Tamandua tetradactyla: one gene and its partner. The protein of the gene in region 2 purifies or fractionates together with the protein of the main gene of each other region. This does not show direct contact. Links are inferred from orthologs where the notes say so. Each region holds a gene or a part of one and is shown on either strand. Other genes may lie near its edges.

Region 1 (8,006 bases), on a different chromosome or scaffold from region 2:
CCAGTACAAGCCAAAAGAAAATGTGTATCAACGTGAAGGGAGTACTTCTTTCTGAATACTTTTCAAAATAAGTATTTTCTTTTATGATGAGCCTACGTAATTCTTTTACTTATGTTGAGTTTTGCTGGAGGATCCCTAATTTTGTTTTGATAATCATGTTTCCTAAATCACACAGCTTTTCTTATCCTAAGACTAACAAGTTTCATAATAATTTTTCTGCCAATTTTTGCCTAAATTATATAATGAAATGGAATGAGCAACTTGACTCAGGTTATAATTTTTCATTTACATTAAGTGGTTAATTGTAATTAGTGACTCAAGAGGTGAATGCCTTCTCTAAAGCATAAAGGAACACACAGATAATTAAATACAGTTTGTATTTGGGGACCACAGTATTCTGGAACATAAAAATCCCTGTTAAGGCCTTACTTAGAGATGCTTATCATAATCTCAACTAGCTATCTTCAATACATTAATGAAGCCAAAGGTGTAACTTTCCAGGAACTGGATTCAACAGGCAACTGGAAAGACCAAGAATGCCTTGTGGGAACCAAAAGAAATTAATTTCTTAGGGCGGAATTTTTTACTGTAGCAGATGGTAAAAGATAATGAAGGGACAGTGGGACTCCTAATCAGTTCCATTCAAATCATGAGTGTCCAGTTAGCTACCTCTCCTTGTCTAGTGACCGAAAGAAGAGCAGTGACAAATGTACTATAGTGGAATAGAAATAAGCTAGGTATAGTCTAAACCCATTCCTAATTATTCAGCATTTGTTTAAATTTAAGATGGCCCTTTCAGAAATGAGGTCTCGTAAGGTCAGTTAACCTACTATACTACTTCAAAGATAACAAAAACTGTATTTCAAAAGTGGAGATGGAGAAAGAAAAAGTAATTTATTACTTAAGATGTTGGCATGCTATTCAACAGTGATATAATCATTATTTTTATTGATACGCCAGTTATTCCTAAATCATCACATATTAATTATGAGGCAGTGTTTTTCACTTTAACAAAACACACCTGAAAAGAAACCTACTCTGTCAAGCCAAATCTTATTTTAAAACTGACCCTAAACATAAAACTACTTACTCACAATTTAGGCTAAGTAGGGAGGAAAAAAAAATGCTCATCAGGAAAATAAGTCTGCCTTAAGAAGAAGTTAACATTAATAAACTGCCCATCAAACAAATACAGAGAAGTGCCATCGCTAAACTAGGTGATGTTTCCAAGCGAAAATATTAAGATGTCAGTTGTTTCCCTGTGTGCTGCTGGATCTTTGGAAATTACCACACTAGCATTAAGTTATGAGCTTGAAAACAGATGAAATTTCATATAATAGCAAGTAAGAGTGGCCCACCAATACTTTTAATGATATGCTGAATAATAAACGGGGGGGGGGGGGCAGAAGGCTGGTAATCCTCCCTTTTAATACCTCCCTATCCCCTAAAATGTAGCCTGTTTTCAGAAATAAAGAGGTGTAATAATACAGCATCACAAATAAAAAAGATAGTTCAATATTTAACATAAAAGTCTACATTTTAAAAATATAAAGTCTATTCTCTACATAACTAACTATACATTGTGCTAGAACGCTTTAAAATACAAAGGGAACTACAAATTTATCATAATCAACTCCTTGAAAATTAAGCACAACGGTTTTGTAATAACCTCTATACCTTTTTTCTCAAGTCACCACCACAGAAAGCATACAACTTAATGGTTTATTTTCCTTGGTGTCCCCCTTACCTCTTCCCCAGTGGAACATACATTTTTTTAAGTTCACATAAATTAACACCTAGCACCGGTAATTCAGTCCATTCAAAACCTGCTTAATTTTCAAAGATCTGATAAAATATGCTCAGGTTGGAAACGAAAAACTACCTTATAAGGGTATAAAAGACTGAAAGCAGGAAGAGGCTTTGACAAAACTAAGGAAGTTGTAGCGCGCTTGCTCACTGAGGGACTTTTTTGAAGCAGAAGTAACACATGACATCTTTCTCCCTCAAATTAAAATGTGACTTGGTTCACCCGTAAAGACGCAAAGGGAGATGGAAAAGACCGGGAGTCGAAAAGGAAGGGGAGGTGGGTAGTCTAATGAAAGCCCCGTTCTAGGTTCCCATTTTAAGAGTCCGATCCTTCCCTATCCCCACCCACACCCGGGGCAGCGTTGTCTCAGCGATCTTGCAAAACCTCCAAGGGACGCTTCTCTCTTCTCCCTCCAAGCGGGTCCCCGTGCTCTGTCCCCTCCGTCCCGGCGCCCACAGGCAGGGTGGGGCGCGGAGGCAAAGGAACCCCGGGAGGGCCAGGCTAGGCGACCACCTCCACCACCGCCCGCCAGCAGCGTCCGCGAGGTGGGAAAAGGGGTAGGAGCGGGTCGCGCGAAGGAAGACGCTCCCCGGGGATTCAGCAGCCCCGAACCCCCGCTGAGATCCCAGGAGGGTGAAGCGACCGGGTGAGGGAGGCCCCCTGGCTCCGAGCCCCACCCCTCGCCACCCAAGGAGCAGCGACTGACACAGCCGGCAGCGGCACCTCCCCGCACCATTCATCTCCCAGTCTCCGGCCTCCTCCCTCCCCCGCCATTTTTCCTTCCTCCGCCTCAGTTTCCCCACCCCCGGTCGTCAAGCCCCTTCGTTCCCTCCTTTCTCAGCCCCCTTACCCAGTGCCACAGTCCACCACACAGGCCGGCAGCCGTCCCGCCATCTTCCTCCTCGCCTGCTGCTGCCACTGCCGGCGTCTGCTCCGTGCTGGTTGGGGCCGGGGATTGGCGGCGCGAGATGGGGGCTATCTGACCATTCACAGCCGGGCTGCCCTCTCCGTCCGGGTGGAACTGGGAAGCCAGAGCAGTAGCGAGAAGGCGGCAGTCTCGGTCAGCGGCTACCACTTCCGCAACCCAAGCAGGCAGTCCCCGCCCTGTCCCGCCGCGGCCTCCTCCCCCTTTCTTTTCCCTCCCCCTCACTCCTGCCCCCACCCTACAACTTCTACCCCTCACACCGCCTTTCCCCGGGAAACCAAGATGGCCGCCGGTGCCGACGCCCGGGCCAGGCCAGGACCAGGCCGCGAGCGCTCCCTCTTCCTGCTCCGAGCGGGCGGGGCGACGGAGCATGCGCAGTGGGCAACCGGCCACCGGCCGCGGCTCCCGTCCTGACGCTAGCGAGTGCCACTACGGGTTTTCCAAGAGAGTAGAGGAAGTGTGCCGAGCCACCAGTTCTCCTTCTGAAGCTTGAAGGGGCTTTTCGGTTCCACCCTTCCATTTAGTTTCAGTAATTCCTGTGCTGGATTTGGGAAGATGTGGAGGTGCATCCCGCAATCCCGAATGTCTTCGCCAGTGCTCAGGGGAAAATCGCCTAATTGAAAACGTTGTCAGCGGCACACAACTATTCTTAGGATTTGAGTGGCTGCATTTCCGTGTGAAGAGAAGGGATTTCAGAAAGGTAGAGCAATCAGGAAACTGAGCAACAAAGGCTTGCACCATGGCTGTTACTCTGCCTTTGTTCGGAGCTTTTATTCAGTTACACTTCTACATTGTTATAGGGCTTTAGATTGTAGACTATCCAGAGGGCAGGCCTGTGGCTGCAAAGACGGCAACCATCCCAAGAATTTGTTCTATGTAATATACTCTACAATGATAGACCTTTGTGAAGGAACGATGGGAAAGGATTTAATATGGAGTAGTAAGATTCTACTTGCAGAATAATATTAGGGATTAAAAACCAAAAATTTTTAAAATAAAAGTGAAAAACTGGAAAGCCTGAATCAGTGGTTCTTAAACTGTATTCATCAGAATCACCTGGAGGGACCACGCTTGCTGGTCGACACCCTCAGAGTTTGCTGATTAGTTAGTTTGGAGTGGGCTTGAGAATTTGCGTTTCTATCAAGTTCCCAGGTCTGATGTGCAGATTTTGGAACCTAGAAGTTTCATGATAACTTTTCCCTCCACCAAGTTTATCTTGATAAACTATCCTGGATTTCCTTAAATGAGGCCCCAGAAGATCACATCGTCTGGTGTTAGGTGGACCTGGGGCATGAAATGCGGGTTTTTCAATCATTCATTTCACAGGTAATTATTGCTCACCTACCCTATAGTGGAATGTGCTGATCCCGAATATTCAATAGGCAAAGAACAGTCTCTGCTCTCATCAACTTTACAGTTATGGAATGCCCCCCACCCCCCAAAAAAGTGTTAACAGCAATAGAAAGGAAGCCAGAGATTGTGAGAAATGGGGGAAAGGATGAGAGATTGAGGGAAAGTGGAAAATAGGGACGTCTTCTCTGAGGAAATGGCTTCTAAAAGCTAAGTAAATATTTGATTGTGGGAAGATGGCAGAATAGGAAGCTCCAGGAATCAGTCCCTCCACCAGAACAACTATTATACAGGCAGGAACAGTGTATCAACTATAGAACACTATATCACATCTAGGGAAGAGCAGGAGGAAGACACTGGCGAGTTACAGAAAATACCAGTAAATTCCCCTCTCCCACAGTGGTTATAGTCCTGCTCTTTTGGCTGGCAAGAATGGGATCTAGCCCCAGCCATGGCTTGCTGGTGCCGGAAAAGGACATAAAAATTCTACCTCATGATCCAGGGTGGACATGGGCCAATTGCTGATCACTGCTTTTGTTGAACAGCTTTGGATCACTAAGGGGCAGCCGTCTTTCCAATCAACCTCAAACAAAGACTGTCAGGGAGACAAACAGGATGATTGCTCAGAGCTGTGGAAGAGGTTAAAGGGCTACATTTACTGGGCAGCTCAAGAAAGCACACCTCTGGGGAGCCATGGAAAAAGCTCCTGGCTCCTCATCATACTTCTCCAGGACAATTCGAAGTCAGCTAGCTCTCCCTTTGTGGGTCTCTGCAGCTGAGAAAAACAGCTCCTGTACTGTGCACCTTACTCTCCCAGAATTTGCCCTCCAGGCAAAAGCAGCTTGAGACACACTTGGAAAGGAGTATAAGAAACCATTGACCAAAACAGCATGAGGCAAAGGCTTGAGTTCCATGGTGGAACACCTAAGAAGGAGAAAATCTGTCTCCTGGAAAGTAGAGAGACACTGAAACTCCTGTAAACATGAGAACCTCTAAGCCACTAGCAAGCACAAGCCCAGAACAGGACATGTGCCCAGAAAAGACAGGGAGGACCCTTCAATTTGCATTCAACTTGGGCAAACCTTCATAATAGAAGAGCTAATGCTCAAAAAAATCTCTCATATCACCAGTTGGTTTACAACTTTTAAAAAAAAAACCAGACGCCTCAGAGAATTAATCCCAGAATTAACATTTAAAAATACTAAAATGTACTGTGTGTATGTTAATAAGAGTTCTCTAGAGAAATCAAACCAACAGGTGAGATCTGTAAATATGAGCTTTATAAAGGTGTCTCACACAACCATGGGAATGGAAGAGTCCAAAATCTACAGGGCAGGCTGTGAAGCTGGTGGCTCTGATGAAGGGTCTGGACAAACTCCACAGGAAAGGCTAGCTGGCAGAAGAAGCAGTGAAAGAGTTTCTCTTCTTCCTTAAAAGCCTTCAACTGATTGGATTAACTCATTGTGGGAGACTGTAGTTGATCACAGATGTAATCAGGCACAGATGCAATCAACTGACTGATGATTTAATATACCAGCCTTCTGGTTTATCAACCACCCATGAAATATCCTTGTGGCAACAGTCTGTTGCCTAACCAGACAAGTGGGTATGGACGTTTAGCCAGGTTGACACGAGAACCTAACCATAACAGTTCACCCTATGTCAACCTGGCAGCTATACACATCACATTGAAACCCATTTAATTTCCAAATAGAACACAATAACAGACAAATGTTTTGCCTAACAATACTCAACTGTCCTCCATACAACCAGAAATGTACTACATGTCTCCAGAGTAAGGTGCAACTCCTTAGGTAAAATTCACTCTTAAACTTCATATTCTATGACTTAAATACTATAACATGAGCAATACAACTTATGTCATATCATAAGAGGAAAATAAGATACTTGCTCATGCGCAAATGCAAACATACTCAAAACAGGGATAAATATTCATACAATCACAGTCCTTGGTTCTGTAACTGGTCACATGGTTGTAGTTCATATTTATCACTACCTTCTTCTCCTACCCATTCCATGTTCCCTTTACCCTCAGCAAGCACTTAAGCTGGCCATGGTTTTTTGCCTAGTGGGGTGATCCAGACCTTCATTCCTGAAGTTTCTGGGCCATTGGTACTCTTGCCTGGATTGGGTTATTGCAGTTTTCCATTAACTGTAATCACAGGGCATGGTAGTACTAAGAGACACCCTAGAAGATCTCCTGTATTCTAGGAAAACTCTTCTTTGCCTCCATTATGTAGTTGCAGTCCTATTTCCCCCTTGATTGTCAAGCCCTTATCCACTTCTAATGTACATTCTAATTTTTTTTGAATATTCTAATTTTGAAAGATCTAAACAACATGTAAGAATTCAAAGAAAAGCATAAAACTATCCTAGTAGGATTCTGATTGGGACTGCAATGAATTTTTAGGATAATTTGAGAATAGTCAACACCTTTAAGTATTTTAATGTTTTCTTTAGGAACAAATGTGTGGCTCCATTAATTTAGATCGCCTGTCCCTCCACTTTTTCTGAGTCTTTGGGTAAAGTTTCATGATTTTCTCCTTAAAGGGTTGCGTATTTCCACTTAGGTATATTTCAGTACCTGTTTGTTGTTGCTATTATTACTGTTGTCAATGGGATCTTTTTATATATGTATATATATATATATCATTATGTATATGCAATGAGAGTTGATTTTATAAGAAAACAATTGCTTTTTATATACTGACCTGATATTTGGCTAACTTGGTGAGCTCTTATCAGTTTTAGCAGTTTTTCAGTAGAGTAGCTTGGATTTTTCTAATTTCCCATCAACTATCTTTATATAGTGAATGGTTCATTTTTTTTTCAATATGGGCTTTTCTTACTGTGTTGTCTTCTCTTATTGCATAGTCTAGGGTCTCTTGTGCAATGTTACAGTATAGCAGTTTAAATTTTATTTTTTGCTTTAATGAGAATTTTTCTAATAATTCCAGATTAATCAATCCCTGATTTTAGCACAAAGCCTCATAGCTGTAAACAGATATATACCTGTGTATATATGTGTTGTGTTATTCAAATCTTCTGTATTTACACTTTTCTTTTACAAATAGACCTATGAATTTATGAGAAAGGTGGACTAAAGACACTATATTGGATATTTGTTTATTTTCTTTTGCATTTTTATCATTTTAACATATATATTTTCTTTTTTTAATTCTTTTCTTAATATTTTTATTGATAAAACAATATACAAACTTATAAATATTCCATACATGGTGTACAATCAGTAGCTCACAATATCATCACACAGTCGTGTATTCATCACCATGATCATTTGTTTGAACATTTGCATCACTCCAGAAAAATAAAGAAAAAAGAAAATATTCGTACTTACCATTTCCCTTACCCCTCCCTCTCATTGATTACTAGTATTTCCATCTAGCCAATTTATTTTAAACGTTGTTCCCTCTGTTATTTGTGCATTTTTAATTCATCTGTCCATGTCCTAGATAAAAGGAGCATCAAACACAGATTTTCACAATCATAGTCACATTGTAAAAGCTGTATCATTATACAATCATCTTCAAGAAACAAGGCTACTGGAACACAGCACAACAGTTTCAGGTACTTCCCTCTCTCCACTTCAGTACACCATAAAATAAAAAAGGGAATATCTATTTAATGTATAAGAATAACCTCCAGAATAACCTCTCAGCTCTATTTGAAATCTCTCAGCCACTAATATTTTATTTTTTTCTCATTTCTCTCTTGGGGAAGGTTTTCTGGATCCCTTGATGTCAGTTCCCATCTCATCCCGGGATTTCTGTCCCACGTTGCCAGGGAGATTTACACCCTCTGAAGTCATGTCCCACATAGAGGGGAAGAACAGTGAGTTCACTTGCTGTGTCAGCTTAGAGAGAGAGGGCACATCTTTGCAGC
Region 2 (8,101 bases):
CCACAGTAATAAAAGACAACTACAGAGCTCTTCAGAGAGATGGAGTTAGTCTCACAAATTAATTCCTCACAGTCCTGGTAAAAGGTGTGTCCTCTGGACATTCCTAGGGTGGGTGAGCAGATCTTCCACGATAAATCCACTCTAACATTCCAATCTCTCTAAGCGTTTGGGTTTCCTTATGTACCTTGTACCAGGGCAGTTCTGGCAATTTGATCGAAAGTAATGTCAGCCACCTTTTGATCCAAGTTTCAGCCAACCACCCAAACAAACTGTTAAAGCCCTTTCTTATCCCTTGAGCTACAACACTGAATCCAGAATCTCTGCTTAGTGGGCCCACATCAATAAATTCAGCCTGATCCAACTTTATATTCCTTCTACCATCATGCCACATCCTTAATATCCATTCCCACAAATATTCCCTGATTTCTGTCTATATAAATTGGAAAACTCACGCAGTTCTTTTGGAGTAGAGTATATCTCCTCATGGGTCACACTTTGTACATCACTTTTGGGGGCTTATTGGGACTTTAATCTAGTTATAGGTCTTGAAGGAAAGAGGGGTAGACGGGGGTGGGTCAAGAAAGGAATTAGAAGTGTCTTTCAAGCCAATTACCTCAGAGTATTCTTTTGCAGTTTCAACTGGTGAAACAAGGATTAATCACTCCAGACAGAGGACTGAGGGCTGTTTCCTTAAGAGTGGTAGTTATGGATTTATCAGGAACTGTATGGTTTATATCTCTCCAGGTGGGGGCTGGATGGCAGATTCCTCAGAGCAGACTGGAAGCTGTTTCCTCAAGGCAGGCTGGCGGTCCAGTGGCTGTCCCCTCAAGGCAGACCACTACAGGTTTTTCTAGCAAAGACTCATCAGAATCTAGGGTTTCAACGTCTCCACTGCCATCATTATCAACCCATATGTCCCCATTCCAATTTTCAGGATCCCATTGATTTCCAATTAATGCCTTTAATTAAACAGCAGACACCCTGCAAAACTGGGAATTTAGTTTACACTAACTCTGCCACTCCCGCAGTGAGATTCTAGGCCTGGTTTTCAGAACTCTCAAATCTGCAGCTACAGGAAATAAGATTTTCTTTCAGGACACACATAGATACTTGCATATCTTTCCTGCAGTGCATGAGTTGCAAATTTGAAAACTTCAGTTCATCACTTTCATTTGTAATTGTATCCAATGTATTTAGGAACAAACAGTCAACATCACGATACCTTTTAACTCCACAAAACTCTGTTAAGGTGTCAAAGACACTTTCATCCAGAGCCTTGCCTCTTCTAAGCACATGCGTAGCCGTATTCAGTGGTGATATTTTGTGTATCTCTATTGTTAATTCATGTCATGGATGGTCAGTGCTTTACTGATTACCGGAAATATAGTCATGAGTGCCTGTGAATCTAAACAGAGTAAAGAACCAATTACAAAGACCCAGAACCAATTTTAAAAGCCCATTTTTTAAATTCTGCTTCTCAATGACTGCCCCACTTCTGGTATCAAAGCTGTATTAATTAAGGGTTCTCTAGGGAACCAGAACCAACAGAGATATCTATAAATATGCAATTTTATATAAGTGTCTTACACAGGCGTGGGGATGCATGGGTCCAAATTCCATAGGGCAGGCTATAAGCTGGTAACCCCAATGAAGGTTTTCGATGAATTCCCCAGGAGAAGCCAGCTGGCTAAAGTGCAGATGAAAATTCTCTCTGCTGACTACTGAAGTTAGCACTTCTCCTTTTAAAGCTTCAACCGGTTGGATAAAATATTTCTCACTGCTGAAGAAATTCTTAGTTGATTGTAAATGTAGTTAGCCATAAATGCAATCAAGTTACTAATGTTTTAAGTCCACAAAATGTCCTCTCTGTAACAAGCCAGTGTTTTCTTGAACAGACAACTGGGTATCATAACCTGGCCAAGGTGACATATAAACCTAAACATTACAAGCCTTAAAACCATGAGCTAATATATTGTATGGTATTTGTAAGAGCAGCTTTGACAAACTAAGACACCAAGCCTCCACAGATTAAAGATGATCATACAATAAGCAGCTGCCTGTTAGAGCAAATATCAACACTCCTTAGAGGAAGATAACAGAATTCAGAGCCTCAACAATGGATCATTCACAATATCCAATATACACAATAACAAATTATTAGACTTACAAAGAAGCATGGTAAAAAAAAAGCAACCAATAAAAAAAGACTCTCTGAGATAACTCAGACAAACGTCATTTAAAGATAAGAACAGTCTTATGAAACTTAATCCCACAAAGGATAGGTCAAGCCTACTCAAAATTAGGCCTAAGAGTCACCCCCAAGAGAACCTCTTTTGTTGCTTAGATGTGGCTTCTCTCTCTATCCAACACAACAAACTCACTGCTCTCCCCCTGTCTACATGGGACATGACTCCCAGAAGTGTGGACCTTCCTGGCAACACAGGACAGAAATCGTAGAATGAGCTGAGACTCAGCATCAAGGGATTGAGAAAATCTTCTCGACCAAAAGGGAGAAGAGCGAAATGAGACAAATAAAGTGTCAATGGCTGAGAGATTCCAAACAGAGTCAAGAGGTTATTCTGGAGGTTATTCTTAAGCATTAAGTAGCTATCACCTTGTTATTCAAGATGTAGTGGAGAGGCTGGAGGGAACTGCCTGAAAACATGGAGTTATGTTGCAGTTGCCATGTTTCTTAAAGATGATTGTATAATGATATAGCTTTCACAATGTGACTGTGTGATTGTGAATACCTTGTGTATGATGCTTCTTTTATCTACCTTATCAACAGACAAGTAAAACATATGGAATAAAAATAAATAATAGGGGGAACAAATGTTAAAATAAACAGATTGAAATGTTAGTGATCAATGAAAGGGAGGGGTAAGGGGTACGGTATGTATAATTTTTTTCTGTTGTCTTTTTGTTTTTCTGATTTGATACAAATGTTCTAAGAAATGATCATGAGGATGAATATGCAATTATGTGATGATATTGTGAATTACTGATTATATACATAGAACAGAATGATTACATGTCAAGAACGTTTTTTTCTTTCTTGTCATATTTTTTTAAAAATTTAAAAATTAATTTAAAAAAATTTTTAAAAAAAGATAAAAACAGTAAAGTAGCTATTATAAATCTGTAAAGGACTTAAAGGAAAACATGGTCATAACTAGGACCTTCCAAGTCTGAGGTACTGTGAATTTTCTTATATTTAAAATTGTTCATGAAGTGGTCTTACGCTAGTCTAAGTTTCCTAAAGACAGTGGGATTTTAGTCAACTCTTCTGTACAGTCCATGAAGTGTTTAACACAATACTTGGCATTATTTATTATTTAATGAGTGAATACTCATTAACTATTTGATGAATCTTAACCAAATTCCAATTCAATCCAACACCGAAAAAACCAATAGGGCAAACAAAATTATCACATAGCAGTGTCTAATGCCTCTCTTTCTCCCACCTCTTACTGCCTTTCTTGCTACTAATTTTTTAAAAGGCAGAGGCTTCCTTTTGGATAATAAATCAGTGTTATTAAAAACTGTACAAATCTAAAAAACATTAAAAATAACTCATACTCCTAGGAACTCCAATGGTTTCTCTACCAGGGCATAATGGGGTTCAATAGGTGTCAGGAGGCCAGTCCACTTTCTCAGTTAAAGAATAAAGTGGTTAAATCTATAAAGGCCCTTTTAAAGCTACCATCTACAAAAATGCATCAAGTGGTAACTGTTCAGGCAGTAACCTCTGTTGAGGCTACAATGCAAAATGGTGATTTAAAAGATAGAACCAAAGATTAATATTAAATGTGTCTGTCATTTTTCTAGGCCTAACATTTCTTGTTATTATCATAAAGAGTCTGTTTTTGTTCATTTGTATGTTATTCTTCTCTCCTAGATTATAAACTCCTAAAAAGAAGAAATTGTCCTTTGTAAGAAGGTGGAATCTAGTTAGAACATTGTTGATACTTGACTGTGGGTACCAACTCAACATAATCGTGGACCAGTTTAGGTAACTTGCAGGCACATGATGAATGAATCCGTGTTTCCCATGAATGCCATCTTTCCTTTGCTAATATGGTGATCGCCTCTCGAAGGGGTGATTAATCTTAAAATCTTTCTACTCTGTCCTCGATTCCCCTATGACCAAAGACTTTGTAGCCATAGGACAACGTAAAACCAATGACTTCCAGTTCATTAGTGGTACATGAACAGCCGGACTAACTAACCCAACGAACCTAATAGTGTGGTTCTGAAATAGGGAGCTCAACAAATTTCCTTTTTGTAAACATCACCTCACCATCAAGCGTGGGGTCAAACATGAAAACCACCAGTGAGAAGGCAATAAGCACTTAGCAACCTTTAGCGGCACAGAGGACAGGAGTGCTGCTCCAGAACTTTCAGGGCTTCAAGGGCGGCATCTTTTTGCACCAGGATTATTTCTCAGAAGCTGCAGCTGCACGGCAAGCACAGTCTTCCCACGTTTTGGGGAGGAGGTTGGTGGTGCTTAGTTCCTCAGACTTCTCTTTCCTTTGGTATCATCTTGGACTTCCAATCACAAACAGCAAGTGATTCTGACCAAGGAAGGGCTGAGTTTTTAAAGCTCCGGGCAGAGGGCCTCAGAGGCTTTCCAAGAGGGAACAAGGCGGAGGCGGCGACCCCTGGCCCAGCGAGGCCAGAGGGACCTGGAGCACACAAGCGCCGCAGGGAGCCGAGCACAGGTCCACTGGCCTTGACTGGAGTTGGGGTGGGGTGGGGGGGCGGTCTCCGAAAGAAGAAAAACGTATTCGTTCGTCAGGCACACATGGTTCGAAAAACTCCAATTCTCAGTTAATTCCTGTGTTCGACAAAAGCACTTGGGAAGCCCCCAAGGTTCCACATCTCGGCTTGCGAGTCTGAGAAAATCTTCCGCGAGGAGTAAAAGCGCCCAGCTGTCTCGCTGCCACCTCCAGGCGGTGCTGTGGCGCCGCTCCTCGGCAGCCGCCTACCCCAACGCCGGAACGCTCAACCGAGCTGTGCGCGTGCGCAGACCGCCCGTTTGGCCGCGGTGCGCAGGCGCTGTGGCCGTTTCCGGGATCTGTCAGCCGCTCCCTCCCGGCCTCGGTCTCCGCCCGCGCGCGCCGGAGCCTGTTCGCGTCGACTGACCAGAGTCCGCGAATTTTCCGCTCCGCGGCCGTCCAGACTACCCCGACCTCAGGTAAAGGGCAGGGGGGCGAGCTTCTGGCGCTGTTGGCCACCTCTGCTCGGTCTGTCCACGGGGATTTAGCCCAGGGGGCGGCGAGGCGGGGACTTGGGCCGCTGGGCCCGGAGGCTGAGGGGCGGGTTGGGTCCCCGTTCCCGGGCCTGCTGAGGGGGCCACGGGGGTTCCCCACTTTTCCGTGGGGTCCTCACAAGAACAGATCGCTTCTCTCAAGAATTTCGAGCGCCAAGCCTCTTCCAGTGAAAGAATTAACAGCTCTTTAACCTGCGCGCCCAGGGCCCTGTTCACACCTCGATTGTGAGCATATATCACAGTCTGTATAAAACTGATAATAAGTGGGATGATCTTCCCCTAATCGAGTGCCATGTCTTTCTCCAAAGTCTAGAATAGGTTCTTACACACAGTGGAGCCCATGGAATGAATGTTTGACTCCTCTCTAGGGCAGACCTCATTCTTCAGTTTTGGGGGAATCCCCGAACTCGAGAAAAATCTTCCCTTTGAGTTCCTTAAAATTCCCCGTCTCCCTCAAATCACAAGTGCACCCGCCTCTGAGATCTTTTATAAGATAACATCTTTCACGTTTCTACCCTATAGTCGATCTCCAATCCTGGCATCGTCGCTGTTTAGGGGGTGACCCTGGGAAGAGGGCTTCTTTGCGTCTCTGTTAGTTCATCTGCAATAGGACAGTCATTACGGTAACCTACAGTCATTACGATAACCGTTTCTTAGGGTTTTTCTGAGGAGCTTATGAGTTTATTTGCATGAATTGCCAAAATAGTTTGCCGCCCAGGGTAGGTGCTCAGTAAATGTAGTAGTATTGCTGCTTCTTTGTGTTGTGTACATGTCCATCTTCCCTTCCTCTCTTGCCTGTCCTCTCTCCCCAGACATAAGAACCAGAAAGGTGTCAGTTTTAATTATGTTTCTGGCCCCATCCCTCTACATATTGCATTGCTGGGGACCTGTAAAGCACTTAATCAATCGTAGCTTAGAATTTTTTATTACAAAGCCATCCGTTCTCACACTGTGGCTTTGGAACGTGACGGACATGCTTAACTTACTTCTACCTCTACTTATTGCCTGAATTACCTAAGTTATCTTCCTTCTGCCCTCCTTTATTAATTTTATCCACCTTTTAGTTTCAGATGAGCCCTAAGTCTTCCCGGTTATCTTAAAAAAAAAAAAAAAAAAAAGGAGAGGATATCAGTCAAGAGGGTATTTTTGACCTTTTAGGAAGTGGGTGTAATTGTTCTGTGGCCTCCTACCACAAAGTTTTTTGAGACCCTCTGAGATTAATCATCTACTAGTCACAATTGAAGGAAGGGATCATCTTGAAAATTTTAAACTCCTGCTTTGGAGGGAGAGTGTCAGTATTTTCATCTTGGTCTAGCTATTTAATCCTATGCTGAAATAAGTTCTGTATCAAGAAGTTTCAGGTGGTCTGCTGGGGAGGCCAATGTCTGGAATTGGAGCCATAAAGGCTGGGAGGGTGTGGTAACCTGGTTGCAGTACCTGGTATTGCTGGATTGGGCAATTAAAGCAGGATGAATCAGTCTTGAAATCTGACCCCAAACAGGTCAACCGAAATTCCCAGTTGTATGAATACATTGAAGCTGCAGAGGAGCAAGGTCAAGAATTTAAAGCATACATAAACTTTTCCAATTCAGCTAACTGGCACATTCTTCTAAGGATGGTTCACAAGCTCTTAGGGTCAAAATGAAAAAAGAGCTAATTTACTGAGCATGTAATTTGGGCTAAGCTCAAAATAGTTGCTTTCGCATGTTATTTCTTTTACTCCTCCTACCAACAGCCTTGTTGTCAGCGATATCTCCATTTTACAGATTAAAACAATTAGATTTAGAGCTATTGAGTAAATTGCCCAGGGTCTCACATCTATTAGGTGTCAAAGCTAGGATTCTAACCCAGCTCCCCTTGGCTTCAGAGCTCATGGGTAACTGTACAATCAGAATGCCTCTGTACTCAAAGTGATGAGTAAAGAAAGGGGATGGGGGAGAATCCTGGAATCATGCTGTGCTGTATATTGTTTTTAATTCTCTCAGTGCTGGACAATGCAAGATAGTCAGTAAAAAACTTGTTATATTTAATGGCACTACTTTTTTGTCTACCCTTTTTTCTCCTCTCTAACCCCATTAAGACATAGGTTTTCAGATTTCACTTAAATATTAATCGCAGTTTAGAAGTTATAATTATCATTTTACTACAGATGGCTTCGTTTTCTTGGTACAAAATTCAGGCTGTTATTAAAAATGCATTTCTCTGCATTCACTGAATTTGGTGGCATACAAGCTGTTTTTACTAAGTTATAAATTTGACAAATATGAATATTGTCTGGCTGACAGACTTAAAATAGCCACATGATTGTAAAAGAAGGGCAGGTCTGAGTATATGTCCAAATATAGAACTTGAATGATATAACAAAATTAGAAATGCAATTTTAGAAGTAACTATGCCATTTAGAAGTAATGTTTGCCTTTTTGGAAGCCTTTGCTACATTGCTTATTAAGCTGAGTTGAAAAATGGAAAAGCTCTTCTTTTTTAACTGCATGAAACATGTTTTTATTGCATGTAGCTATTCATATTAAATTATTAATTCACAGACCAATTTGGTTTCACTTAACAAATGAGCCTATAAAATGTGGCTTTTGAACTAAATTGGTTTTAATTAAGGAGATATTTGTGACACAACATGTAATCTTGAATATCTATGAGTAAAACCTGTTGTGGTAAGCATCTGATATCAGAGATAAAGAATCATGCAGTGAGTAACTGGAAGTTCATTTTTTAAAACAATAAAAGTGGTCTCGTTTGAAATTCATTTGTTTATTTTAACTTTCTGTTAGGTCTTTTTCTTTATGAGTTACAATTTGCTTTCTAGAACAAAAA

What was found. The genes of interacting proteins can lie anywhere in the genome.
Region 1: the proteins of ARPC1A (region 2) and ACTR3 purify together in Homo sapiens (affinity purification with mass spectrometry; 7 studies listed by BioGRID and IntAct, counting the BioPlex papers as one, with this or other methods). This does not show direct contact. The link is inferred for Tamandua tetradactyla from reciprocal best matches to the Homo sapiens genes ARPC1A and ACTR3.

What each region holds. Positions count from the first base shown.
Region 1 is NC_135329.1:101,095,948-101,103,953, forward strand, and holds the start of ACTR3 (actin-related protein 3), read right to left. Parts: upstream 3,081-8,006; 5' UTR 2,984-3,080; intron 2,829-2,983; 5' UTR 2,702-2,828; coding exon 2,658-2,701; intron 1-2,657. UniProt on the Homo sapiens protein: ATP-binding component of the Arp2/3 complex, a multiprotein complex that mediates actin polymerization upon stimulation by nucleation-promoting factor (NPF).
Region 2 is NC_135349.1:7,367,133-7,375,233, forward strand, and holds the start of ARPC1A (actin-related protein 2/3 complex subunit 1A), read left to right. Parts: upstream 1-5,060; 5' UTR 5,061-5,197; intron 5,198-8,101. UniProt on the Homo sapiens protein: Probably functions as a component of the Arp2/3 complex which is involved in regulation of actin polymerization and together with an activating nucleation-promoting factor (NPF) mediates the formation of branched actin networks.